4 linked regions of the Lytechinus pictus genome follow. The protein of the gene in region 3 purifies or fractionates together with the protein of the main gene of each other region. This does not show direct contact. Links are inferred from orthologs where the notes say so. Each region holds a gene or a part of one and is shown on either strand. Other genes may lie near its edges.

Region 1 (7,224 bases), about 34 Mb from region 3:
TGTATAAAAAAAAAAAGTCGCCAGCGAGCAAAGCGAGCTGGAAAAAAATTGCCTATTGAAATTAAATTCTAATTATGTGATAGATTTCTCCATTATATTCAGCAAATAACACATTTCATTGTTTCCATTCATTTCATTATACGTTGTCTCCTATAATTTCTTTTATTTCCTCTTGGGTGTTGAACCAAGACCCTCCCCCGCCTGTACGCCAGTGATTGAACGTAAAGCTTAATGTAGGAAGGGTCCCTACAGGGGGCGTAATAGAGCCATTTGAAGGTCATAGATGAAGAGCCCCTACTGCTTGGGGTCTGGGGCTAAGCCCCGGTAGCTTATTTGCATAAAATTGAGCAAGCTAATAGCACAATGTTGTATGCAGTCCATCTTTCTTCCCGCTCTTTATTATCTATCCTCGTCAGCCCGGTCGTGTTATTAAGTTTTTATTTCTTGTGCCTTTTCTTTGTTTTCCAATTTAGCTTTTGACTAATTCCATTCTACCTTCATTTCCCGCTATTGTTTGTCAGTTTGTGATCTTTCCCATCATGCTATTGCACTACATAGGTCTATTTCGGAATGATTTGTTCTTTCTCAAATGCTCTTCTTTTGTTCTTCTTCCCGCTTTCCTTCCTTTTCCATTTAAAGGACATCCATTTAAAAAAAATATATATTTTTTGTTTTCTTTCCACTTTTCCCTTTCTCTTTCCTTTTCCTCCTTTCCTTTCCCTCTTTTCTTCCCCTTTCTTTCTCCCTCTCTTTTATTTTTTCCCTTTTTTATTTTCCCGGTGAAATTCGCCAGGGGGGGGGGGCAACTTGCCCCCCCCTGCCCCCCCCCCGCCTGTTACGCCACTGGATGCTTATTCAACAATATTAGATAATTTTCAATATACGTTTTGATCTGATCTAAAAAGGATCTGTTAACGGCTGCTTGCAGTTAGCCATGAAGACGTTACATATTTGAACAATCAATATAATGCGAGCGCGAAGCGCGAGCTTAAAATTTTGACATTTATATACCCGATGAATAAAAATTCTGAGCACTTTTTGTAATCGTGAAAAGGATAAGTATATATAACAAAACAATTGATGCGAGCGCGAGCGGAAAAAAAAAATCGAGATTCACACCTAAAAATGGGACACTCTATTCATGTTTGGTAAATCATGAAAATGATGAGTAATTTGAAATCTTCCTACATTAATAATGCGAACGCAATGCACGAGCAAATTTTTTTATACTGCGATCTGAAACTTGATAATGATTTAAATAGAGTACAGGCAGCGTATCTAAATAAACATGCGTGGGCGTGTTTCAGATTTCGACCTAGAATCTGGGCATTCTAAATGCCTTTTTTATCATGAAAATCAATAAAGCGAGCGCGAAGCGCGAGCTTAAAATATTTTATATTCCGATCTGATAAAAAGGATCAATTCAAGCTCTGTATTTCAAGCACTTTGAAGGGAATTTGTGAGGTGGATATGGATCAGAGTTAAAAAAGGAGCTGATATGTTTCATTATTATTACTTGAGTTTTGACATAGGACCGGGACATTCTAAGAACATTATGTCATCATATGAAAATGATGACTATATTCCTATATTTCTTCCTAAGCACGAGATGAAACTTGCCGATATTCCATTCTGAAAAAAGGGACAATTTGATTATTAAATTAATATCTTATTCATTAATCTAATAAGACTAATGAGAGCGCGAAATCTCTTAATATTATGGCCTGAAAACTGGACATTTAAATCACTTATGTAATTATGAATAAGATGCATGAGTTAATATATTTTCAACAATCAATGCGAGCGCAGATCGCGAGCCGAAATTTTTGATAAACTGTCAAGAAATGGGGATTCATTAGTTTGTTATAGAATTAATATTGATACACTTAACTCACCAATCAAAATGCGAGTGTGCAGTGTTAGCTGATACGTTTTGACAATCTGACCTGAATAGGGATATTTTGAGAACTTTATGGAATACAGGAAAATAATAGTTACCTGACAAATCCAATTTTCCGAGCGCGCAGCGCGAGCAGAAAATGTTAATATTCAGACCATAAAACAGACATTTCTACAGGGCAATTTTTAAAAATCAATTTGTAAATCGAACAAAAATAAAGAAAGTTCGATTTCCGAGCTGAAATATGTTTTGTATATTGACTTCAAAATTAATATGTTAAGCTCCATATTGAACAAGATATGTAAATCACCTAAAATGCGAGCGCAAAGCGCGAGCGAAAAAGTTATATAGTGACATGAAAGATTAAAAAAAAATTTTTTTCAAGTCTTCCCCTCATCTTATTTTATTCACTCGTCTTCCTCTTTTTATGTTTCTTCTTCTTTTGTCTCCTCTCTTTTCCTTTTTTTTTCTTTCTTTCCTTTTTTCTTTTTTTCTCTCCGCCAATAGGGGGGGGGGGGGGGGCCTCGGCCCCCTGGATTCGCATATGGTCTTGGGTTGTTGACTTTATTATTGGCCTACCTTTAGAGGAAGATGGGGCAAAACAGAATTTTGAAATTTGCAAAAGTTAACGGGTCGTGTTATTCAGTGGTTAGAGCATATTGGACTCATAATCACGAAGTTGTGAGTTCGAATCCTCACTCTGCCATTGTCTCCACTTTGAAAAAAGACCCGAGAGTAATATCTGTCGTCTATACCGTCAGCCACTATGACTGATTAACCTAGACGTTAAATGTTTGCTAGGTAATTGGTTATATACCAGCTCGGCGTTTACCAGCAAAAGCTGTCCTGTCGAGTTCCTACGGGAGTTACCATAAACAGAAAGAGAAATAGGCCTATATGGAAGTTTAAAAGTGCATGCCCCCCCAGGGGGGGGGGGGCACTTACATTGACGAGTGCATACCATTTGCGACCCAAAAAACACGTAAAAAGATAGGGCGCGTTACGTACGTAACGTAATAAGGGTGTCGTCAAAACACTAAAATAATGAAAAAAGCCTGGGGTATCTATTTCGCTAGGAAAGCCACGTGTTTAGGGTCAAATTTGGGAGGGTATAAACAATTCAGACTAAGATGTTTAATAAAGGATGTCACTCTTTGTCCCAGCAGTCAACACTACGTGTTTAGTACGATTTGCGCGAGATATGGGAGGTGGGGCCGTACTAAACCCAATGATGTAGGTAAAGGTAAAACCGACGACCGACGTCCGTACGTGACATAACAATTAAAATATCGCTGTACTTGTTTAGGTGTTCAATTCAGGGATAAGTATCGTTTTGTTTCCAATATACTTGTTAAGGGTAGGGTTTCACACGCCAATACTTGTTAAGGGGTGCATTTTCAGAATATGGAAATACTTGTTTAGGGTGCTTTTCGAGACCCCATGGTCGCGCATGGTATCGATCCACTCGTCAATGGAAGGGCCCCCCGCCCGGGAAAGTGCCACCCATAATATAATCATCTCGTCATGTCTGCATCCCGTGGGAGAGATGATCAGACAAATTCTTAGATCATCGTCATGTGTACGTCCCGTGTGAGAGATGATCAGATTGCAAGATCTCGGATCTCATCATGTCTACATCCTGTGGGAGTGATGATCAGATGATAAGATCTTGGATCTCGTCATGTCTACATCCTGTGTGAGAAATGATCAGATGGGAAGATCTTGGATCTCGTCATGTCTACATCCTGTGGGAGAGATGATCAGATGTTGTAAAAATAGCAGAAAAAAATAATGGAAAATATTGGTGAAGGTTTGAGTAAAATCCATTAAAGATTAAGAAAGTTATTAGAATTTTAAATTTTAGCTTTGTGACGTCATAAACGAGCAGCTGCCCCATATGTTTTGTAATATAAACGCATAAATTTCATTTTTTTAATGGTTCGATCGTGATGACTTGTTTTTGTTTTCTTTTTAGGAAAGGGTGTGATACAGTTGTAAATCAAACAAACAGAGGCGTCGATCTTGGGGGGACAGGGGGGAAGGCGATCGCCCCACCAACGAAAATATGGGGGGGGGGCAAGCATAGCGCTTCGCCCCCAATAATTCCTTGAGTGCATCAAAAATAAAACTAAAGTTACACAGAAATTAGTTGGCAACTTAGCCAAATACAGTTTAAAATTTGGTTAGGCCTACGTTATTTTCGACCCACTATAGGTCCATCCAAATCTGAACAATTTTTGTTTTTGAAGGTGTATCCGCAGAAAAAAATCCGATATGACATCATTTGCAAACAAATAGTTTTGATCCCCGAGAGAGCGGCCAATTGCGGAATGCCCACTCGACTCAGCGCGGTGGCCATAGAAGTCGCGCGCCCTCTGCGTTTGGTAACACTTACGTTGCGTCTTGTTCGAGATTACGAAAGAGTGAGTAGAATTTAGACTCCAAATTTTAATAAAGTGAGACCATATAAATTCACAATTTATTCTTAGAATTAGATCTGAATCTTACCACGTTTGCCTAGTTTGCCATATATCATTTGATGTAATTTTGTTGCCTCAAGAGCTGGAGCAGGGAGCTCGGGAGTGCAGTGAGAAAGCAAGCGAAGCTCGACGATTTGTATTGTGAGTGAATGGAGTGGAATATGGATGTTGTAATCGGTCATGTATTGTTATGCCGCCACGCCAGTGTGTCAGTGACTGAGTGAGCGACATTGTTGTGACACTTGTGGGCCGTGGGGAAGCTGGGGGGGGGGGGGGTTAAACAGCTGGCAGCCGTCTGTTTCGAGGAGTTTTTAACATTTCTTATTTCTCGTCACCTACGGGTACATTACCAGTAGTACAGTACTCCAGTACTGATTACCGCCGCCGTGCACAGCCACAGGATAACCACTGGCACGGCATACCCAGTTGTTGTGTGTCCGGACGATCAATTTTAGAAAGTCATCAGTAGAGGCGCCGGTCAGAAAATTGGGATCGTCCCAGAATACAGGGACTGTCTCAGTTTATAAGGATTTCTTCACACTAGAAATCTAGGAAAGTTCATTCACCTGTCAAGTGCCGACACCAATCAAGTGTGCTAGTCAATGTAAACATATCAGGTTTCATAACAAGATTATTGGAAGACGGTAAGTCATGAAAATTAGACGGCGAACTGGGGGGAATTGAGGTCACTGAATCTATTTTTAGCACTCTCAATTTCCGTAATTGCTGTCTTTGTCCCGTAGGGAGAAGTGAAAAAAAAACGTCCCCATAAACAAGGACAGTCTCAATTTATCAAGACATGATTTGTCTTGGTTTATGAGGATATCCTTGTTTTCTGGGACAATCCCAGTTTTTGGACCAGCGCCTCTACTGGTCATTTGGAAAAATTTACAAGGAAATCAATCAATTTTTAGTACAAAATGTCAGGAAATATTATAGAGAACAAAATAGAAGATGATTACAACTATTGATTTCGTATTTGTAGTGTAATCCAATGACAAAAAAGAAGGCTTCAAAAATATAAAGTGTCCGGACACCCGATCCCCCATCCCACTTGCAACACCTTTATTATTTTTAAATTAGCAATACATTACAGATTTCAAATTAAATAAACTTTGGTCTTTGGATATGAAACTTACCAAACGATATGAAGCCAATTTCAATTCCTCTCTGTCTTTCTGGTACTTTATATCAATGATTTTTCTTGATGTCGAAGCAGGCATGGGGCCGATTCGCTGGTTCTCGACTTGAATCTAGACTGTTCGATAGGAAAAATTCGCATTTCAATTGTTGTTTGCGTAATTTCCACCGCAGTATTAAGGATCGGACGGAGTAACTGGCTGAGATTTGGAGGTAAGCGTTTAAAATCCATTTTTATAGATAAGTTCGTGCTGATTTTTAAAATTAGATTACATTAGCCTTAGGCCCTAGGCTATATGATTAAGATTACTAAATAAGTAAATTTAGTATATTGTGAAGATTTAGGCGTGTTTCATATTCTCACATTCGTGTGATGAATGAAAACGTCAAAATTCATTATGAAATGACATGCGTTGTGCGAGGTTAATATACTAACCTCGCATGTTGTGTGAGTACTTTCTCGTAGACGTCGTAGTAGTAGTATACCCAGTTGTGTGTCCGGACGATCAATTTAGAACGTCATTTGGAAAAATTTACAAGTGAAGTTTCATCAATTTTTATTACAAAATGTTAGGAAATATTAATATTTTATATGGCAAGTTCCCCCAAGTCTGCGCAGTCCCCCTTGTCTGCGTATCTGCGCGATTCTAGTAAAAGAAGATACGCAACGAGCACGAAGTTTAAACATGCAATGCAATACATAGACAGGTATTCATAAAAAAATCCGACTGAAAATGGTGGAAAAATAAGGAATTTAGGGCATTTCATGTGATGGCCTCAAAATGCAGCCTTTCTCATCAAAATCCCCGAATTGTGCAAAGTGAATGAGTGCGCAGACATGGAGTATCTTTTTTTTTAATCTGAAAATGACTGCCCGAGGTTTTTTCAAGAAAATCCTATATTTTCTTTCATTTTTTAACGAGAAATTTGGTACACTTACTCTTAATAATAATATAAGGAACATTATTAACTGAAAGATTTTGTGAAATAAGAAGAAATTCATGTTAAATCTTAACTCAAATTGTTAGGTGCGCAGACTTGGGGCCCACCATCATAGAGAACAAAATAGAAGATGTTTACAACTATCGAATTCATATTTTTAGTGCAATCCAAAGACAAAAAAGAAGGCCTCAAGAATATAAACTGTCTGGACACCCGACCCCCCCATTCTACCCAGACGGCTCGCGATCGGGCAGCCGCATTTAGGGGGTAAACCAGGCCTCTTCAAAGAATTTTTTTCATCTCTTGCCCTGTCGGGCAAGTGATAAAAAAATTTGCTTGACCAATAGAAAAAACTGCTTGCCCGATTTTTTTTCAAAAATTCTTTTGCTCTTAATTCAATTCAAGACTTTAATCCAGACACAGCTGCATATGCAGAGATCCATATCATCAAATAACATACATGTAATATACATCAAGACAAACGTGCAAATAGAACAAATAAAGTATAAACAGCGTCCTGGTTGAACTTGATATACTGGCGCTGGCCTCGGCATTTCTTTTTCTTGACTCTTGTTCAAGTTCTGGTCGCCGATCGCGACGACAAAAGTCGCCTATTTTAGTCTGACAACTCATTGTTTATTTGGTTTGAAGTTGAAGCCGAGTCCTGGCCGAGTCAGTCCGAAGCTTGCATGCATTCAGCGCGATCTAGCTCGAGAGTCGGCTGGCTCGCGATCGCTCGTGTACGTATGTACATGTACTGTA
Region 2 (7,129 bases), on a different chromosome or scaffold from region 3:
AAAGTGCTTAGAATTTCCATTCTTCGGGTAAAAATGTCGAAAAATTTTAGCTCGCGCTTCGCGCTCGCAATATTTGATTTTTTTGAAATATGTAACGTCTTCATGGCTAACTGCATGCAATCTTTAACAGGTACCTTTTCCATCAGTTCATTTCTGCTCGCGCTTCGCGTTCGTGGTAATTATTTAGCTGCATACACATCTTTTTCAGGATAACAAACATTGCCCAGAATGTTCAAATTTTAGGAAAAAATACATAAGATTTCCAAAAAATTTAGCTCTCGCTTCGCACTCGCATTATATAAATAAGGATTATGATATATTTATGTTGATTAATAAGAATAGAGCCAAAAAGTGACTATTAGGATTACACCTTCAAAGAAACCAAAAATCATCTTCGAGCGGCCGATCGGGGAAAATATGGCTGAAAAAAATTCCGGGCCCCCCCCTATTGGCAAAGGCTGGATCCGCCCCTGCATGGTCAGTATATATGCAAATGAGGTGACTGATGATGACGTCACCCACTGACTATTTCTTGTGTATTTTATTATGTAAAATATTAAATAGTTCTAATTTTCTCCTCATTATCATGTGAAACAATGTTTTGTTCCTCCCTGAACATGTAAAATTACCAATATTCACTTATGGTTCAATCAAGTTGGTCCCTATATTGTCCACATCGGTAAAAATTGAAATATTGTACAATTCAAACATAGTGCGAGAGACATCAATAATCGACTAATTTGCATATCACTGAGTTGTGCATATAAAGTTTATATAGTGAAAAATAAGCAAAACTTTAAAATGCCATAGCTTTCTTATTTTACATCCGATTTTAATGAAATTTGTATTGTTGTGCTTGTTTGATTTTTTTTCTATTTATTCAAATCATCAGTTTTTCTAGGTTGGACCCCTCGGATTAGACCTTTAATACACGAAACGGGCCTTTCTTTGAGATGAAAGGGGTACCGAACACGTTTGTCAGCGGGACCGTTTTCTTGGGTAAAAGGGTTTTCAATGAGGACACAGTGCCGCTCCCCCCCCCCCCCCCCCCGGTGTTATCGAAGTCCACATAGTAAAAAAAAATTATACAACGCTGTTTACTATATGAACCTTACAGTAATTGTTTAAACAGTTTAAACAAGTGTTTAAATCTTAAAGGGATGGTCCGGGCTGAAAGTATTTATAGCTTAATAATTAGAATAAAATTCACTGAGCAAAATGCCGAAAATTTCATCAAAATCGGATAACAAATAACAAAGTAAGTTAATTTTAAAGTTTAGCAATATTTTGTGAAAACAGTGGTCATGAATATTCATTAGTGGGCTGATGATGTCACATCCCCACTTGTTCTTTTGTATTTTATTATATGAAAATAGGTTTATTCAAATTTTCTCTCAAAGAACTAGAAAAATTGGATTGACAACTGATTTAGTGCATTAGATATTTATTGATGCAACTTATTTCATTATAAGGGAGACATATTATTCACACAAGTATGAAATAATGAAAAATATGATTTTATGTAATAACATAAGAAAACGGAAAGTGGAGATGTGACATCATCAGCACACCTAATGAATATTCATAACGACTGTTTTCACAAAATATTGCTAAACTTTAAACTTCAATAACTGTATCATTTGTTATCCGATTTTGATGAAATTTTCGGCATTTTGCTCAGTGAATTCTACTCTATGTCTTAAGATATAAATATTTTCAGCCCGGACCATCCCTTTAAGCGACAAAGTTTAATTTTCAATATCTAAACATGATTGTTTAAACGGTTAAATAAATACTGTAAGGTTCATAATAGTAAACAGCGTTGTATAAAATCTTAAACAGCGTTTTTACTGTGCATGCCCCTTCTCAAATTAGGATTAGGATCTTGAGCCACTTCCGTTTTGGTTTTAATCCTGTAGGCAGTTATCACATAAACTATATTTATACTTTTGTTTGCGGAGATAATGCAGCGTTAAAATTATAATTGATAAATGGGACGCATTGTAATATTTTAATAACACGGACATAGGCAGGGGCGGAAATCTCTCCCAAAAGGTAGGGGGGACACAGGGGCGGATCCAGCCTTCGCCAATAGGAGGGGGGGGGGGCGGAAATTTGTTTCAGCGAGTATTTTCCCCGATCGGCAGCTCGAAGATGATTTGTGTTTTGTTTCTTTGAAGGGGTATAGTCCCCATTAGTCACTTCTTAGCTTTATTCTTATAAATTCATGTATAATATCATAATCCTTATTTATATGATGGGAGCGCGAAGCACGAGCTAATTTGTTGGAAATTTTATGTATTTTTTCCTAAAATTTGAACATTCTGGGCAATGTTTGTTATCCTGAAAAAATTACTACGAACGCAAAGCGCGAGCAGAAATGAACTGATGGAAAAGATACCTGTTAAAGACTGCGTGCAGTTAGCATTTAACAATCAAATAATGCGAGCGCGAGCTGATTTTTTTTTTACATTTTCACCTAAAGAATGAAAATTGTAAGCGCTTTTTGTAACTCAAGCAGAATAGGTATATAAGTAGACAATTGATGCGAGCGCGAAGCGCGAGCGGAAAGTTTCGAAATTTAGTCCTATAATATTTACTGAACGAGACGCTCTATTCATGTTTTGTAAATCATGAAAAGGATGAGTATTAATAATGCGAGCGCAAAGCGCCAGCAGAAAATTTTTATATACGTTTTGAAATGGTACCTGTTGAAAAGGTATCTGTTAAAGGTCAAGTCCACCCCAAAAAAAAGTTTATTTAAATAAATAGAGAAAAATCACACATGAATAACACTGAAAACTTCATCAAAATCGGATGTAAAATAAGAAAGTTATAAAGACATTTTAAAGTTTCGCTTATTTTTCACAAAACAGTTCTATGCTCAACTCAATGATATGCAAATGAGAGAGTCAGTGATGTCACTCTCACTCACTATTTCTTTTGTTTTTTATATATTGTTTGAATTAAACAATATTTCAATTTTTACGAATTTGACAATTAGGACCCCCTTGCTTGAACCACAAAATGTTAAAATAATGGAATTCCACGTGTTTAGGGAGGAATGAAGCACATGACAATGACAATAAAATCAAAATATTTCATATTTCATATAACAAAAAAAAAAGAAATAGTGAGTGGGTGATGTCATCGGTCCCTTCATTTGCATACCGAACAGGATGTGCATATAACTGTTTTTAGAATTTAAGCGAAACTTTAAAAAATAATATAACTTTCTTATTTTTCATCCGATTTTGATGAAATTTTCAGTGTTATGCTTGTTTGATTTTTCACTTTCTATTCAAATCAGCTTTTTGTTGGGGTGGACTTGTCTTTTAAGGACTGCTTGCACTTAGCCATGAAGGCGTTACATATTTCAACAATAAAAAAATTGAAAATTTTAATCAATTTTTGTAATCGTGAACAGGGTAGCTATATAATTCAACAATTGATGCGAGCGCGAAGCGCGAGCAGAAAAAAAAAGAGATTTAGACCTAAAAATTGGCCACTCTGTTCATGTTTTGTAAACAGCCATAGGCTGATCGAGGGCTTTTTACCGTGTTTAAATAAAATAAATCAATTGAGTAGGGGGGACACGCCCCCCCCTGTCCCCCCTGGGATTTCCGCCCATGGACATAGGCCTAATTCTTTTTATAGCCCTACCATACACTGCAATGCCAAGCAAATCTGAAGTTGAACTTTACAAAATATTGGTGAAGGTTTAAGGAAAATCCATCAAAGATTTTAATATTTTTTTTATTTGTCACGTCATATGCGAGCAGCTTCCCATATATCGTGTATTTTAAAAATTCAAGGAAATGTCATTTTCTCAAATAATTTGAAAATAATTTACCATAAACGGCCAATTTCACATCCGCTCCTGAAAATTTTTTTTTAGTCATCATGCACGAACTTCCCACAAAAAAAAGAACTTTATACATTTTATATTACATGACATAAACTATGGGACATTTTTTACGTCACAAAACAAAAACTATAAATTATAATTATAACTTTCTTAATCTATGATGGCTTTTCCTCAAAACTTCATTAATATTTATTTGTTATTTTTTTCTGAATTTAACCATGGACCTATTCTTTTCGTAAGGAAAAAGATTTGTTACCGCGCCGGCCCTCAACGTTCTTTGTTTACACCAAGAAATCGCAGATACAGTGCTCTGGCAGGTAAAATAAATTAAAAATATGCTTGTATTAGTTGTAACTGAGTTTGAAGTCTCAATTCTTATTTTTTTATAATGAGTGGTGATATTCGTAGGTTAATTGTGCGGAAATCGCGTAGTTAAATTTAATGTAATTTTTATTGCGCTATCATATTGGTAACGTGTGCGATCAGCCGAGTGGCGAGTGTAAGTGCAGAGTGCAGTGCAGCCAGCTCCATCGGCATCGCATCGGAACTAACCCAGGGGCAGGGCCAGGGAGCTCCGGCTCGCGAAGCGGGTCGACGTCGGAGCCCAGGAGTCAAGACTCGACTTTTACCTAGTTTTCGTCTCATTATTTGCAGAAAATTGAGCAGATCAGATTCCCATGTTTCGATCGGCGACTCCGATTCAATTCGCATATATGGTAGGTATGTGACAAAAAAAATGAAAATCATCAAATATGAATAAATTTGGTATCACTTGAAAGCTCTTAAAAAGACCTTTAAAATGATACCAAGAACTTTAGTTTTCATAAAGAAATTATAAAGTTATTCCAGTTTAAGTCGCACATATTCATCCAAATTTGTGGTCATTGTCTTAATGTAAAGTCAATGGAGTACAGAATCGATTTTTGTGACCATTTTGTCATTTTTGTGACCATTTTGAACCCAAGTCTTCAACAGGCTCTAACTTCTTTGTTTTTGAGCCCTATGAAGTAATTTAGGTATCAATGGAAAGGTGAGAGAATGCTTAATTGATGTGTATCAATTCATCTAGTAATTTTTCTTATTATGTGTAAAATAATTTCTTCTAATTAATTCTAATTAATTATGCAAATAACAGAAAATCACAATTACTTGCCTCTTTTTTTTGCCAAATGAAGGTGATTATGATAGATAATTCATATAATTTAGTTGGCATCAAAACAGCATCATGTAGATAATTTCCTAATGAATTTGTCTAAAGTATTGTTTTTGTAATTTCTAATGTATTTCTTTGTTTTCTGATATAAATTACAAGCTCTTTTTCAACTTAGTATTGTAATTTTGTATATGTGTTTGTACGGGGGTCCTTTTTTACATATGAAAAAAAATTATTTTGTACTTTGTATGACCAAATAAAAATATGTGTGCTTTTTTCTGATGTATTTTATTGTTTCACCAATTCCTTATGTATTCTATTGTTTCAACAATTTGTTATAATATGTAGCTTTTGATTTGAGAGACAATGGACATGTGATTACATTTTTAGAAGGAATGAGCAGCTGAGTGTAAAATATGTATGTAGAATTGTATGCAATTTATTTCAAGTATCAAGAAGGACGAAAATGAAGTTTTAATATATTGTATCAGTTGTCAATTTCTTAGATTTGTATACATACATTGTATTACAAAAGCCCTGTTTGAGCTCTCTTTTTAAAGAAAAATAAATTCAAATTATTAGTCGAATCCAAAAGAAAAGGAAAAGAGTGGTCTATTTCTTTCAAAACAAAGCAAAAAACAACCATGAAAAATATATAACAAAGCTTTAAACAACAACAACAAAACAGACATCAAAGCTCCAAACAAGCACTAAAAACAAGAGAAACAAAAACTTGTACCAATCCCATCCCCATTTTCCAATTCAAAATACAACCCCCACCTGCACCCCTAAAAAAAGAAAAGTGAACAAAAAAATAAATAGTACAATTAATAATAAACATAAATACAGGACTCAGACCCATCTGGAAATGAAATATTCTTTCCTCTGAGTTTTCATGTATTTTCTTACAAGAGTGAAAAAAATTACAACATAAAATAAACAACATCTAGTTCGTGCATTTTAATAAAAAAAAATCAACATTTAAGATATTCTCCTTTCAAAAGCAAATCCAGTCTCCAAATAATGAAATATGAAAAAAAAATGAAAAAAATAAACAATACAATAATTTAAAAAAGAAACTTAAAAAAATATATTTAAAAAAAAGAAACTAAAAAATAAACATAATATTTGCATTTTAATTAAAAAGTCAACATTTATGATATTCTCCTTTCAAAAGCAAATCCAGTCTCAAAATAATGAAACATGATTGAAAAGTTTCAAAATATTTTTTTTTCTACAAAAGAAAAAAAAGAAACACTATAGATTAACATTAATATTCCACTTCCAAAAGAATCCAGTTTCCAAATGATAAAATATGATTCTATAACCTTAGGAGGAAAGAATGTTTTTGTGACAAAATGTATATATTTAAATCAATATCAGAATAACAATCTACGGTATAATGACAGACATTTTCAGAAAAAGGCACAATATTATCAAGTGAACAATTTAGATCCAGTTCAATCCAGCATGAACGACTCACTATCGACCACTCCCGTCACCAAGCCCTCCGCATCGGGTACCGGTAGCTCGACTGCCGAAAGACCGTCGGGAGCCCACCGCATCGGGCAGCTCGACTGCCGAGAGACCGGCTGTGACAAGGGTAGCTCGCGCCGCTTATATCTGGACTGCTCCACGAAAGAATCTTTTGATATTAGTTTTTTTTTCAATTTGAATACATTTTTAAAAGGTCAAGATACATAATTGGATTGCAGTTCTACTTACCATTAAAACATTTCGATCATTTGCGCATCCAAAAATTTGATGAACTTTCAAGCTCCGATATCCACACTTCACAGGCGAGTATCCACATTGAAACTTACATGTACAGAAAGAGCAAGTCTTCAACTGTCTGTATGGAGGCACGAGATTGCATCAACTATGTGCGCATGCGCATGAAACCCCATTTTCGATGAGCCGCCCAGACAGAGGCGATGCCACTTGCAGCAAAACCCGCGCGAAAACCGTGCAGCCAAAACCAGCGTTCGCGATGCGCCCGTATTCACACATACCTATATATGGCAAGTTCCCCCAAGTCTGCGCAGTCCCCCTTCCCTTGTCTGCGCACACGCGTATTTGCGCGATTCTAGTAAAAGAAGATACGCAAC
Region 3 (7,021 bases):
TACGAAAAATTCTTTGACGATATGTCGCTAAACATATCTTGCCAATTTCGATAACTATCGACAGAGAACATAATCAATACCTATTTTTTCTACATTATAGCGATGTCACATACTCGCGTTGTTCAAAATTTGTATCTGCCACTGTACATGTACCAAGAATGCTTTAAAATCCATGTTCATCGGATGTAAATGATTACATAAAATCTTTTAACAAACAAATATATTTAAATACATCCTCACCTTTCACGTTATTAGCATTATTTTAGGATTGGATGAATTTTTATCGATAATTTTGGGGCTTTTTGGGCATCGTCAATGTCTTTTGCCTATCCGGCATTTTGATATCGTTCTGTACATCTCAAAACGTAGAGTGCAGCAACACACGGCTTGTGTGCTGCCTTCTACGTTACTTGGTACTTCGTTAAAATTGAGCTTGCGCTTCTGATGTTTTTGATAAGGTCGAATGGAGTCAAGTGCAGTCATGTTTGGATTGTCAGGATTATAACGAAGTGGGGGTGAGATCGTGTTTTGTGGCTAGTACATGTAAGTATTCATATTTTGTTGAAATTTTGGAGTAATTTTTCTGTTATTTTCTGTTTAAAAATTCACTTTCAAAAGGCCATTTCCGTGTATTTACGTGAAATCGCAAAAAATCACTGTATCCCTACATGTACATGCATGTAATAGCGGGTATTATCGACGAGAGAAAGGTTATTGATATCGCTAAGTGGCAAAAAACGCGATTATCAACAAGACTAGCGATAAAGATGTTATCGATAAACAGCCCTAATGTTGAATTTTTGTGATCAAAATTTGCAGCCTTGTTTTGATGAAATGCTGTGCACTATGAATGCTCACAATTTTGTTTTCAATTTTGAAAGAAGGAGAATGAGACGGGACTTTTCCTTTTTTTTTTGAGGGTCCAGTTTGTGCCTCGATGTCAGCAGGATTCTGTGTCACGATAGACCGTCCATTCATCCATTAATTATAATTGGGGTAGTGCATAATTTATTTTCCCCCCTCTTATTTTGGGTGCTTTTGCGACCCCATTCTACCCCATTTTGGATAGTATTCTCTGCCTCATATTACACGGACGAGTCCTGGGCTCCGGCCCGCAAAGCGGGCCTGAGGCTGAGCTCCCTGGGCCGGGTTACATGTAACCCAGGGAGCTCCGGCCCGCGCAGTGGGCCGGAGCCCAGGGGCTTACCATGTATTTGACCATACTCACGGGACTAGCGTGATTTATGGTCTAAATATTTCTCCAAATGAATTGTGAAAACTGAAATTATACACTTACCGCGATTATATGGATGAAGGTCTAACGAGTGGCAGTTTCCTGACATCGAGGCACAGACTGAAACTTCAAAAAAACGAAAAGTTCTCTCCTTCTACCCCCGTCTCGATCGGCCATTTTTGTTATGAATCGTAACAAAATGGCCGATCGAGACTGGGGTAGGAGAGAACTTTTCGTTTTTTTTAACTTGAAGTTCCAGTCTGTGCCTCGATGTCAGGAAACTGCCACTCGTTAGACCTTCATCCATATAATCGCGGTAAGTGCATAATTTCTGTTTTCACAATTCATTTGGAGAAATATTTAGACCATAAATCACGCTAGTCCTGTGAGTATGGTCAAATACACGGTAAGCCCCTGGGGCCCGTTTCTCAACACCGTCATAAGTCTAACTTCTTGACTATTAAATCAGAGATAGTGAGCTACTTGTCCGCTAACCGTTTCACGAAGCCCTCTTTACCAAGATCGGGTACAACAACCTCACTAAATATTTATGACACCTCCGAAGCTGTCATAACTTCTTTCTTAGTGACGTACATGTAGTGGCATCACGTGGGTAGACTATGACATGCAAAAGCGCCTAGATATTTGAAAATAATAATCTTACGTAATCAATCATAGAGGTTGAAATTACATCACAAAACAAGTGGGATAATGCATTAAATGATAATTCTAATACAAAGAAACTATGAAAACTGTTAGTAAAACGCCACAAAACCTTTCAGTTTGAAATAGTGAAATGATTTAATCGATAAAGATTCTACCACGTCAGGCCATCCATAACTGGACTCGTATTTGTCGTTTTCAGACCCCTATTAACATTTGGATAAATTCTATCTCTAATTTATGCATACAATTTGTCAAATCGCATGTTTCGGTATCAAAGATTTAACAAAAATTGTTGAACTATAGTTTGATGATGTATGGAACCGTAGAAGGGCGTATAATTATCATCATTTTACAAAGAAAACCGTTATGGTTTACTTTCGTAAACTATTAAAATTCGATGTCCCGGGGGTACCCATCTCAACGTCCACATGTGATTTTCTAGTCATGAAATGAATTATTAATAATTTAATTTTCTCAGCAACTGAATGCTCCAATCTTCATGGTCTAAGTATGTATGATGCATAATTTAAATGTGCTGTTATTTTGAAAAGATGTATTTCCCAATTCATCACAATATTTGCAATTTTGTCATAATTTTTCTTTTTGAAAATTAGGCTATTTTGTGACTAAGGAGTAAGGCTACGTCTCGTCTGCTCATTTTTCGCTCATCTTTCGTGAAACGGGTTTAGTAAGATTGGAACTAACTCCATGGTTGATGGTTGGTGGATAAAGATATGACTTGTCCAGGTGTTGAGAAACGGGCCCCAGGGCTCCGGCCCGCTGCGCGGGCCGGAGCTCCCTGGGTTAGGTTACATGTAGATCCCTACCGTATTCCTCGCAATACCGGTACGTGTGAGTAGTGCGCCTGATGAGGCTGAGCCTGAGGTAAAACAGAGAAGCTAAATTGAAGAGCTTACCTTCCAACTTAAATTTCAAAGTACAGGTTGAATTTCAATTGAAGAAAGTGTATTTTAAATTTCATTCAAAAATATGCGAGTTATCTTACCCATCTGTATCTTCCATTTCGCCTGCCTTATTCAGGAAAGAGACATTTTTACGAAATATAATCTCGGAATTTTATGATACCGGTGAATTGAGACGAATCGAAATCATGTGAATCGGCAACTTTGATGCAGATATTGTGAAGTGATTATTGCTTTAAAAATATTTTTCTAGAATTTCAGCATTATAAAAGCAAAAATAATAATTGGAAAAAAATTAAAATATTTTTAGTAATTCAAAATCGTAAATATTATTAATTATATACAACATTACCAATTATAACAAAGTGATCTGTAAAACTAAAGCATTTCGAAAAAGTAGGCAACAAGGCTTACATTAGAGTTCGATAAGTCGTTTTAAAACATAAGAAAATAAAAAATGCAATATTTGACATATTATTTTATTTTTTTACAAATATAAGACATTTTATTTTGATAAAAAAAAATTAATGTATTAATTTATTAATTTACGTATTTTTAAATCATTTTAAAATTGATTTATTTAAAGAAACGGTTTCTTTGACTCTGGCAGATTGTCTTAGCTTTGGCCAATTACGCAAAGGGCCGGTGCCGGTGATCGGATCGCGATCGGACTCGAGTGGCGCGCCGGGCCGCGAAAGAAGGCCTTGAGATGAGCCGTACATAGTACATAGAGACTGATACTAGAGTCTTAGAGAGGGTACCGACGCGACATAGAGATGCTGCCAGGTTGACTCTGGACATGGATAATTCCTGAACAGCTGATTTTTACTCTTACTAAATCTGCGAATGCAAGTCATCAAAACTTTGAACTGTTTAGTGTTGGATCTGAATTTAGAAGTTAGAACCCTTTTTAACAGTGGAGCATGAGCAGTCTTTGGGCCTTGGCTTTGAGTGACTTTTTAAATTAAAGAAAGTGAGTCAATCAATCATGATCATCCTACTACTAGCTGACTAGACCAAAATCTTCGGTCTCTGTTAAATTGGTTGTTCTGCAGAACTCTGTTAGCTCCAAATGAAAAAAATTTAAACTCCTTGTTCCCGGCCATGCCAGCTGTTTAGATCATTCATTCAAGTTCGGACATCAGATTTTTTTTTAGGCCCCTATTTGATAACTCGGTGGGGGTCATTCAGAGGCTAAGGCTTTCGTTGGTGCGCGCGGCTGTGACGAATTGAAATGTGCAGCCGCCATCTTTAAGTTATACATGTAAAGAGGAAAATATCAGACTTTTCACTGTTTTACAATACATTTTTCAAAAAGTACAGTTCATTATATTACGTTGTAGTCTTTACAGTGTGAAAATCAGACACAAGGCCAAATATTTTCTTGTAATGTTAGGGTCTATATTAACTATGCGTAATTGGCCATGCGTCTTTAACTCGCCCCACGAAAAGGTGGCTTTGTTACACTTTTTCAATTTTCATTCAGTTAAACAAAGGCCTACCACATCTCAGTTGAACGGAGAGATTTGTCATGAAATTGGTATCATTTTAAACTACCGGTACTAACTATATAGCCTACATCATGTCTGAAAAAATAAGTGCAATATGAATATTTATTTTTTTTACAAATGGCTTGAGAATTTGGTTTAACAAAGATGAGATAACTCAAAGATGATTGTGTTATTTATTTTCCAGATCTATGCAAATTAAGGTGTCTGGATTAAGACCCTCATCTACAGAAATACCCTGTTATAGATTTCCATCAAAAGTGACGTTTGGAGCCAGAAATCTTGGATTGGTGGTGTCCAACAATCATAACAGGAGAGGCTGAAGCGAAGATTTGGATCCAGATTTGGTGTGAAGTCCTCGGTTGAGTTTGAGAAATCCACATTTCAACAATGTTTCAAGCTATAATTCGCAGTACCTCAAGCATTACAAGGAGAATGGCAAGTATAATTAGATGCGCTATGTCTTGCACTTTAGGCACTGGTACTGATAAAGCAAGGTTTGATTAATAAAATAAACCTTGCACAAAGTTGATTTGGTCATTTTGTTGATTTCACTTATGCTATTTGTGTCTGTGTATCAAGGGATCATTTTATTTCAAATCACATGTGTGCAGTCACAAGTGTGAGTCAAAATTGCACATGCCTACTTGCCTAGTATGGCTATAGCCTCCTACATGTACATGTATTTACACATTACCTTTGAGACTCCAGGGCCCTGTCGTACAAAGAGTTACAATTGATCCAGTTAATCTCAACTGTATGGGAAATCCATCTTTACCCCCGGGGGGCCACATCCATTGATGAGTGGATACCATGCGCGACCATGGGGTCTCGAAAAGCACCCTAAACACGTATTTTCCATATTCTGAATATGCACCCCTTAACAAGTATTGGCGTGTGAAACCATACCCTTAACAAGTATTGGAAACAAAACGATACTCTTGCCAAGTATTCCCTGAATTGACTCCCTAAACAAGTACAGCGATATTTTTATTGATATATCGGTCGTCGGCTTTACCGTTACCTTTACCTACATTATTGGGTAAATCGTACTCTAAACACGTAGTGTTGACTCTTGGGGCAAAAAGTACATCCTTTATAAAAACATTTTAGTCTTAATTTTTTACCCCCTCGCAAATTTGACCCTAAACACATAGCTTTCCTAGCGAAAAAAGATACCCTTTTTTCATTATTTTAGTGTTTTTGACACCCTTATTACATTACGTACGTAACGTGCCCTATCTTGAAAAAGACACCCTTTTTACGTGTTTTTTTTGGTCGCGTATGGTATCCACTCGTCAATGTAAGTGCCCCCCCCCCCCCCCCGGGTCTGTACCATTTTTTTTTCTACGAGAAATTTGCACAATCCCCTTTATAGTAAACAAAGAGAATCACAGTTAATCTTCAAGAGAACGATGAATGTACATAGAAAGTATTTTGAACAAACATGCATTTTAGATGTTGACAACTTGATGTTGCTGGCTTTCCATAATTATGGTCGATCAGATCAATAGGAACTCTTTGTAGGGCTCTTGCTCTTTCCTGAAATCATGGGCTTTCATGTAGGGCCATTGACATTACCTGCATGTATAATTTCTTTTACATAAATGAATAGGTTATATCATTATACCTTGATAAACATATTCAAAAAGCACATGACCAAAATCACCACTTAAAGCACTCGGCATGTCTTGCTGTGTGAGGTGTACAGTGATTTTATAAATGATGCCTTAGTTTAATATGCTTTTTTTTTTGTATGAATAGTAGCTGTCTGCTGTTTGCTTCAACATGCTTTGAATGGTTTATTGAAAGTCATGAAAATTGTCATACATTCTCTTGGTCAACTATGAAATGTTGATCTGGAATTAGATGAACAATGCTGATGGTGCTGCATGTATGGATCAAGATTTTTGTTCACAAGTTTGATTCTTTATGCCATAAACTTACAATTGTGAAATCTAAGCTGATATTGATAAGTAGCAAACTGAAGATCACACTCACAGATAAGCCAGGGAGTAATTTTACTTTTCAAATATGATTTGTGATTATTAGAGAAAAGCTTTCAAATATGCTCTTAACAGTTCTATGTCAAAAATTGCTACACGAATGAAATTTTGTGTAGCGATCACGAAATCATGTGGAGCAAATTGCGATGCGATACCAGGAAAATTATTCCCTCTAAGCACATGTAGGGCAGTGTATTATATTTGGAAAAAAAATATGTGAAAAAAGACTGACACTTGGCTAAGATTGCATGCTTGTTTTGTGAATTATTCAGCAATTTTCTTATCAAAATCTTTCAGCACATATCTTATTCATGCATAATAACGATTGGTGGTCATTCTTTTGACTTTTGTTCAAACTGATTTTTAATGTATATTGTTACCAGAATCTCATTTATGTACTGTAACTTTAATTTTAAAGACTTTATTATGATATTGTTTGCCGCAACTGCATATGCATTTATTTAGCTTTTAATAACCACAGTTAAAATTGATTTGATTCTAGCTGACAGCTCTTCAGCCAAGGGGTCTATCGGGAGTACAAGATGCTACTGAGGGAGAAGGAAGAATAAAAACAGTCCTGCAGGATAAATTTCCAACTGCAACAAGCATTGAGGTGGAAGATATATCAGGTAAGAAGTCAATACAAGATGGCAAAATATAACTTTATTCAGAAATTAAAAAAAC
Region 4 (7,902 bases), on a different chromosome or scaffold from region 3:
AAAAAACCATCCCTCCCCACCAACAAAAATATATTAAAAAAAACTGCTGTCACCCATTATATAATGTTGATTTAATATTTCTCAAAATGTACATTTTTTATACATTTAATAATACCTGCAAAAGTTATTGATATTTCATTAATGATCTTCAATTAATTTTGTTCTAAAGTATTTGAATTAATTAAACTCACTCATTTCTTCAACTTCAGAAAAAAAGTTGTTACAATAACAAGTAACCTAATTTATCAAGGGCAGTAATGAGCACAGAAAAACCTTGGTTCATCCAGTGTTGAGACAATATATGTGACTTTGATGATCTAAACCAAGACATGCATCACAGTACATTCGGGGGAAAACCCCATAAAATAAATGCATTTTCAACTGAAAATTCTGATCCACCAAGTGTAATATGGGCAAGAGTAACTCACCTAGTTCATCCAATGCTTCTAAGTCTTGTAGTAAACCCAATGGATCTTTGTTCTTCAAGACAGCAGCTCTCACTGCCATACGCTGCTTCTTGTTCTAATAAACCAACAAGAAAGTCAAACACCAATGATAATGTGAATATGAATTTGGGGTTGACTTGACTTTAAATATATAGAAAAAGGTGATGAATGTACATGTATGAAATGAGGCAATGTATGAATTATAAGTACATTATCCATTACATCACATTTATTTTGTCATGAAGCTCATTTCATCCTGTATGACATGTTTCCACATACATGTAATCAACGAATGGTATCAGATTCTTTAAAAAAAAAAAAAGAATTCTCCAAATTGCATTGGTAAAAAATTCTTGAAACGAGGATACTACAGTGATCAAGAACACAATATGGACATTCTACAACAGAGACCACCACATGAAGGCCAACTGAATTTCAGAGAAAGAACATCTCACTCTCCCACTTCATTACTTTATTCTGACCACATCACTTGTGTACTCTGGCTGAGCATAGGTTTAAAGTTTTGACACAGTGAGGGTGAACTTCACAGGTTTCTATGGAATATTATCAGTAGCTCTAAGAACATATCAATTCATGCCATGAGTCAGTCTCTTCTAATTTATATTTGAAATCTGATATGCTTTACAACATGAAATATTTAAATTTGAATGATTTATTATTAATTCATGGAAACACTTGTCCCATACATGAACATGTACAGAAGTCAGAACAAAATGAAAGACTTTGTAATCACTTACACAGTATGTGACAATGTGTAGTCAGAGACACACTGAGGTGTAAGTGATCAAAACGACTTGTTTTAGTTTTATATCAATATAATTTATCCAGTCAAGAAGGAGGCAAGGGGAGGAAACCATGAGACCCCATATTTACTAAACTACAAGGTTATTAAAGTACTTGCCTTCTTTAATTCCCTCTTTCTTGCTTCCTTCCCTGTGAAAATAAAATATACAATTGTAAAATAAATGTTTAATTGTCCTCTAAAGTCTTTATTTTAAAGGGCTAATGCTAACATCAAGATTTAACAGAAATCCATCCAATCCAAGCCAGCTCCATGTCCCAAGAATTACAGAACATGCCCTAAATTCATGAGAGGTTAAAGCCAAAATTAGGTTTTGAAGCTGTATTTCAGCTTCAATCTCATCATCATTGTGCAAATTCTCAGTCAGACATTGCTTCGCCATAATTTTTATTTAAACTGAAGTTAGCGACCAAAATCATGCAAACATGCGGCAAATAAACAGGTGTGCTGCCGCAGACAAATCTTTTGGTCACTAACTTCAATCCATGTCAAAATTACGGCAAAGCCAAGTAGACCTACTAAAAAAAAAAAGATAACGTCGAGATTGGAGCCGAAATACAGCCTTTCCCGATCGCGATATCTCAGACTCAGGACAAGGTCACAAGCTGGACAAGCGGTGGACATATTTTTATTGACTTCGTCTTCGGAATCGGATGTGACCGAGTCTGACTCTGAGAGTGAGAGACTTGCCATCAATCATCATATTTGCAAACAATTCTGGTCATGCTGGTGGGGAATTAGCTCGAAGTCGGCCGGTGCAAAACTGCATTAGCACCACTGGCATTGCCATTTGCATTAGCATCTCGATTTCGATTGGCATTGCCAATGGCAAATGGCATTGGTTCTATCATTGATACCGCCAGGCATAACAATGCATATTTATCTGCGTGTGGGACCAGGCCTTAATAAAAATAGATTGTCCCAATCCATCCCGAAGCACTCACGCATTCTCATTTCTTCAGCATGATTTACACAAAATTTACTTACTTGCTTGATCAGTAGGATTCATATACTTCCCACTTTTCGTGGTATTGATCGATCGTCTCCCCATTTTGGCAGAATTTTAATAGGAATTCTCCTCACGATCACAAAATCCACGGGCACGGTTAAAGCAAATGTACAATTATTGTATCTCTATCGATGAGGGCGCGAACACCGATGATGATCTCCCCGCGATTTACCCCCACAAAAAGCAATCCTACAGATCGAGGAGGAATTACTGGGAATTACTCGGATATAAATATATAATGATAATATATTCCAACATTTCCAAGAATTTAAAATTTCTGTGATTTTAAATATGTTTTCAGATTCATTTGAAGGAGTCTAGACCGACCAAATTAGGCAACAAGTTTTTCATGGCCCTCAAGGGCGGAAATCTCTCCCGGAAGGTATAGGGGACCAGGGGCTGGAAAATTTGACAATTAAGCAAAAAAAAATTAAAAAAAGTTTATCACCCCAAATGTAAGGTCACTTCGACCAAAATAAATTTTACAAGCAAAAAAAAAAAAAAAGAAAAGAAGGTTATCACCCAAAAAGTAAGGTCATCTCGTCCAAAATACATGTTTTATTTCAATTTTGAATTATGTATTTCTTTCCATCATACAAAAAAAGTAGGGGGATCAACATTTTGATATTTCGAGGCCTCCATCACTTTCAAGCTCCAAGCTTAAGATGGAGGTCTCCCACATTTCTATATATATATGTTCAGTAATTAAAGAAAATGTATATATATAGATATAATTTCACAGTCCAGTTGATATTTTATAATGATTTATGTGCATTATTCATTATGTTTAAAAAAATATTTGCCTATTATGTAATATTGAAAAAAAAATATTATACTTGTATATTTTTTGTTTTTGTTTTGAAATGTGGAAATAAAATAAATCAAATCAAATCAAATATTGTGTCCCCATACTATTTTGGGTAGGGAGGACGCGTCCCCCTGTCCCCCCTGGGATTTCCGCCCATGATGGCCCTGCGAAGCGGGGATGCTAAAGTTCAGCACCTCCTAGCTGAATTCTGGAAGATGTAGCGAATTTGGAAATGTAAGGAAAATGACTTTTTTCTAGGGACCAAAACGACCTTCATTTTGTAATGAAACTTTTTTTTTTGCTCGTCAAATTTACTTCAGCACCCCAGCAAAGGACCCTGAAAAGCTTCTAATGGAATGCTCCATGTTCAAAATTTTGTTGCACAATTAACACATGGCTTAATTTGTGATGCGACAATTAAGACAATCACAGAACTCTATGTCCACTCTCACAAAATAACAGATAAACATAGATAAATACATAAAGAAGAAGAAGAAGAAAGGAAGAAGAATTAAGAAGAAGAAAAAGAAGAAGAAGATCGAAGAATTGATTTGTCATACTACTTTTTGCGTTACGTTCTATCTTTATATACCTTGAAATTTATTTGTCACTGAATCTATAAAGTCGGCCTAAGATTTATTAAGAATTAGGCCTACTATTATCATTATTGTTATTATTATTAATATTACTTTCACCATCATCATCTTTATTATTATTATTTTCATCCCGGGATTTTCATCACCATTTTTATTGTTATCATCATTATCTAATATTAGTTTGTTCTTGTTAATTGTTGTTGTTATTCATCACTATTAGTGAGAGGTTTTCCTCTGTTCTTTGTTGAAACCGTAATCAATGATGTATTTACATACAGGCTTATATGTTCTCAGGCCTATTTCCCTGTATGCAACTTATTACTTTTTCCCGCATTTTTTTTTTACTGAAATGGAGTCATCTCGGTGTAGTCAAGAGAAAATCAATCCGATAAATCTGGACAGACCGGGGGCCGCGAAACGAGGGAGGAGGGGGCTGGGTTGGCTTTAGCCCCCACTTTTTTTTCCAAAACCGTGTACAAAAACATAAAAATTACCGTCGCATTGTTATTTTTGCATGGTCCCCCCCCCACCCCCCCCCCTTTCACAGCCGTTCTGCCTTCCGCGACCTATAGCTAGTCTGCAGGCACAGACTAGACCTAGACCAAAAGCTTCGGTCTCCGTTATGTTGGTTGTTCAGCTGAACTCCGTTTTAGTTGGCTTCACTCACCAAATGTGTACGAGGAGAAATTAAAAAAATTAAAAATGTAAAAAACCTCCTCGAAACAGACGGCTGCCAGCTGTCTAGCACAGACCCTGATTGAAACTTTCAGTGTGTCTCTACGCAAAGACTAGCACATATAAAACTTGCTGTTGAGCGCGAGAGGGCCTTCAGTATATACACAAGGCATGAGTAGGTAGGCTGCAATTCAGACCCTTTACTCGAGTGAAGGGTTTGCACAGCAGACTATAGCATTTAGCCCACTGAACTAGAGATACGTATTTTTAGTTCAGTGATTTAGCCGCCGCGCCCCTCCAAATTAGTCTGCTATGCAGACTCTGAATGGCTCGTGAAGTGGGATCTGCAGCTGGTTTGCGAAGCAAACCAGCCTGAAAGGGCGAGCGAAGCGAGCCATTTCAGATCTGCAGGCTCTAGTAGACCTAGTCTGCTATGCAGACTCCTTGAATCAGCTGTGATACACACACTGCAGATGTGGGTCTACAATTGTAGACTACCTCCAAATCGCATCGATGATGAAAAAAAAAGGGGTCCTATAATTATACTGCTGCTAGAGGGCGCTCGTTCTGGCCAAAGAAAGTAGCGTTTGCTGCGTCCTTCGGTCCCAGTCAAGATGTAAGAACAATCGCTTTATTTCGAACACATCTTAATATTCTCGTCGTAATTTGAAAATTTATGAGTATGCTCGATATGTTATCTTAACATGCATTGTTAAATTTTTGTATATAATCAATATATTAGCGTGATGATCATCGTGTCAATTATGCGAATCCATTGACGATCGAAGTCATTTTAATGACTTTATTGTCAATGAGTGGGACTGTACGAAATGAAACTCGGTTTCTAATTACGGTTTTCTTGAGTAGATCTACCCTGAAATGAAATCTTATTGTAATGGTTGTACATGTAAAAACTGTCCTCATAAACAAGGACCCTCGCAGGTAATCCTAAATCCTGGGTATTTGTGTTTAGCCTTTTGCTTTAGGCCTAACCTAGAGTAGCTTGCCTTTTCTTTTTGACTTTTGAGTAAAAATTTTAGTTTTACTTTTTAGTTTTAAAATTAGCCTTGGCTTTGGCTGCCACATGTCACATCCTACCTCAGGCGATGTTCGTGCAGGCTCCACTTCACTACCGCTACACTACGCTCCACCTACCCGAACATCGGGACCGTGAACCATTTCGGATATACCGAGTCACAAAGGTCATGAACAGTAGAGGCGCACGGCCAATATTGGAGACTGTCTCCAATGTGGGAGATTATCTCCAATATCAGAGACTTTTGTAAAGAATTTGGGTATCCAATTTCAGAGACAGTCTCCAGTTTTGGAGTCCAATTTCCTTTGTTTACATTTGCTGCAAAAGGATTACCTTGGCGGCAAATGAAAATGTGATAAGCAGATTCCTCATGAAAAATTACCCCTTTTCACCGTCTACTTTAAAAATTCACCGTCTACTTTTGTTTTGATAAGGATTTTTGTTGTCAATCACACACAAAACAAATGGGCTTCTGATCTCAGTGAGACAAAATTTTGGGTGGAAAAAAATCATGCTTTTGTTGGTGTTGTTTCTTTTGTCCTTTTGCAAAGCAAGGCTCCAATGTGGGAGATTGTCTCCCCTATTGGAGAGAGTCTCCCATATTGGCCGTGCGCCTCTACTGATGAAGGTGGGATGGCAATCATGATAATCATAAAAATTAAACAAAAAAAATATAACGAAAAAGATGATTGACTTAATATCTTACTCTACACCCGTATTTCACTCCGTGTCCATCCTCCGGTTATCCTCAAAATTTGTGATTTTGGGCCAGTATCTTTCTCCTCACACGTATTATTCACGGCTGATTTCAAATCATCGCATGCGATCGCGATCGGTTTGACTTTTAGACATCCGAATTTGAAAATTCAAACAGTTTTGTGAATCGTAGATATTGAGCCTCATTGTGAGCATATCAAACATGCTGGAACAGCCTTTCCTAATTTTCACCTGAAGTGCCTAATTTAATACCTCATTCATTTTAATGGCCCCAGTAGTAACAAGAAAGTTATGGTAGTTTTAAGTTCGTACAAATCGCCCCTTCAATTCTTATGTATTCCTTTGTTTTTTAAAACAAAAGTTGTGACCTTAATTGGGGACCAAGGTGCACTAATACTAGAAAACAACATACATTGGCATATGGAAGTGCCCAACAACACTCCCCAAAATTACAGACGCCGCCGAAACAGGGACATAAAAAACACACTTAGCGTCAGTAGATCTCTTTCAAATTTCACCGCAATGGAGTTGAAATGTTGTTCTATCGGAATAAATACCTTTTAGAGTGGGATGATACCTGTAAATATAAATAGCAAGAGGTTGAAAGCAAGGCCAAATTTCCAGTAGCACACAGGGTCGCAAGATCACCGAGTGATATTTTTTCAAGTCTAGACAGCTGCCATAAACATTCAACTACGTAAAAACAATGATGTTATGGGGAATAACTTTCCTTGCACATGCAAACACAATACAAAGCAATGCCCCCACAGTCACCCTGCAATTATAGGCAGCACACTCAATGCTTCATTCACTTTTGTAACATACCTATACCAAGGCTCCACATTAACTTTTTTTGGTGGTGGCCCGTTCGGGCCACCAAAACCATCAAATAATTTTTTTTTGGTGGCCCGATATTAAAGTTTGGTGGCCCGAAAAATATAAAGAAACACATTAAAAATTGATAAAACAAACTTCTGAAATATTAATTCTGCAGCCACTACCACTAAGTTACTTCCACTTTATCATCTTGTATGTAAACCTTGTTTGCTGTTATTTTACTTTGCTAATTGGCTTGTGGTAAAATATAAATTGTTTCTATCATTGTAAAAATGAAATGATTGAAAGAGAATAAATGAATTTTATTGTTCCCAGGTTGTGTGGACTTTTTTTAAATCTCTGTATAGACACACACACTCATAATGGTAAAGTAAATAAATAGTGCATAGCAAACACAGATAGATGTACAAAACTATGGTTTTTCATTTCTTCCTCTTTGAATCCTAAAACCTAAATTATGCAGGCCCCAAATCCATTTTATTTCTGTTTTCCCTTTTGCAGTATATTATAGCAGGAGAAAATCACAGAAAAATATTCTGCAAAATTAGAACAATGCATAAAAGGGGGAAACAAATGAAAATAATTTTCAAAAAGTATATTACAAAAAGAAAAAGAAAAGAAAAGAAATAAGTGAAATAAAACAAAAGAAAGAAAAAACAAAGAACAGGGAAAAAAAGAAAAGAAAAAATTAGAGAGAAAAAAAAAAAGAAAGTGAAAGAAAAATGAATAAAACAAAATTAATATAAACATGGGAAAAAGGGGAAAATTAAGAAGCCATTACGAATATTTGTTAACAGCTGTGGCAACAGTCTATTCTGACTGGAATATAATTAAAAGCCAAGCAAATAATTTTCACTTACCTTCTGGGAATGGCATTTTATATCCTTTAGTTTGTATTATTTTATTTTCAGTAGAAACATATTTTTTAATCAGGCATATTCAATGGGAAGGGGTA

Evidence for each region.
Region 1: the proteins of serine/threonine-protein kinase PRP4 homolog (region 3) and pre-mRNA-processing-splicing factor 8 purify together in Homo sapiens (affinity purification with mass spectrometry; 4 studies listed by BioGRID and IntAct, with this or other methods). This does not show direct contact. The link is inferred for Lytechinus pictus from reciprocal best matches to the Homo sapiens genes PRP4K and PRPF8.
Region 2: the proteins of serine/threonine-protein kinase PRP4 homolog (region 3) and U4/U6 small nuclear ribonucleoprotein Prp31-like purify together in Homo sapiens (affinity purification with mass spectrometry; 3 studies listed by BioGRID and IntAct, with this or other methods). This does not show direct contact. The link is inferred for Lytechinus pictus from reciprocal best matches to the Homo sapiens genes PRP4K and PRPF31.
Region 4: the proteins of serine/threonine-protein kinase PRP4 homolog (region 3) and RNA-binding protein with serine-rich domain 1-like purify together in Homo sapiens (co-immunoprecipitation; 4 studies listed by BioGRID and IntAct, with this or other methods). This does not show direct contact. The link is inferred for Lytechinus pictus from reciprocal best matches to the Homo sapiens genes PRP4K and RNPS1.

What each region holds. Positions count from the first base shown.
Region 1 is NC_087246.1:34,396,935-34,404,158, forward strand, and holds the start of pre-mRNA-processing-splicing factor 8, read left to right. Parts: upstream 1-4,221; 5' UTR 4,222-4,323; intron 4,324-7,224. UniProt on the Homo sapiens protein: Plays a role in pre-mRNA splicing as core component of precatalytic, catalytic and postcatalytic spliceosomal complexes, both of the predominant U2-type spliceosome and the minor U12-type spliceosome.
Region 2 is NC_087254.1:21,097,100-21,104,228, forward strand, and holds the start of U4/U6 small nuclear ribonucleoprotein Prp31-like, read left to right. Parts: upstream 1-4,111; 5' UTR 4,112-4,185; intron 4,186-4,522; exon of another isoform or gene 4,523-4,584; intron 4,585-7,129. UniProt on the Homo sapiens protein: Involved in pre-mRNA splicing as component of the spliceosome. Required for the assembly of the U4/U5/U6 tri-snRNP complex, one of the building blocks of the spliceosome.
Region 3 is NC_087246.1:68,799,179-68,806,199, forward strand, and holds the start of serine/threonine-protein kinase PRP4 homolog, read right to left. Parts: upstream 3,021-7,021; 5' UTR 2,924-3,020; coding exon 2,907-2,923; intron 1-2,906. UniProt on the Homo sapiens protein: Serine/threonine kinase involved in spliceosomal assembly as well as mitosis and signaling regulation. Connects chromatin mediated regulation of transcription and pre-mRNA splicing.
Region 4 is NC_087254.1:22,809,710-22,817,611, forward strand, and holds the start of RNA-binding protein with serine-rich domain 1-like, read left to right. Parts: upstream 1-4,886; 5' UTR 4,887-4,971; coding exon 4,972-4,973; intron 4,974-7,902. Other genes in the region: WW domain-binding protein 11-like, read right to left, coding at 429-522, 1,369-1,400, 2,257-2,320. UniProt on the Homo sapiens protein: Part of pre- and post-splicing multiprotein mRNP complexes. Auxiliary component of the splicing-dependent multiprotein exon junction complex (EJC) deposited at splice junction on mRNAs.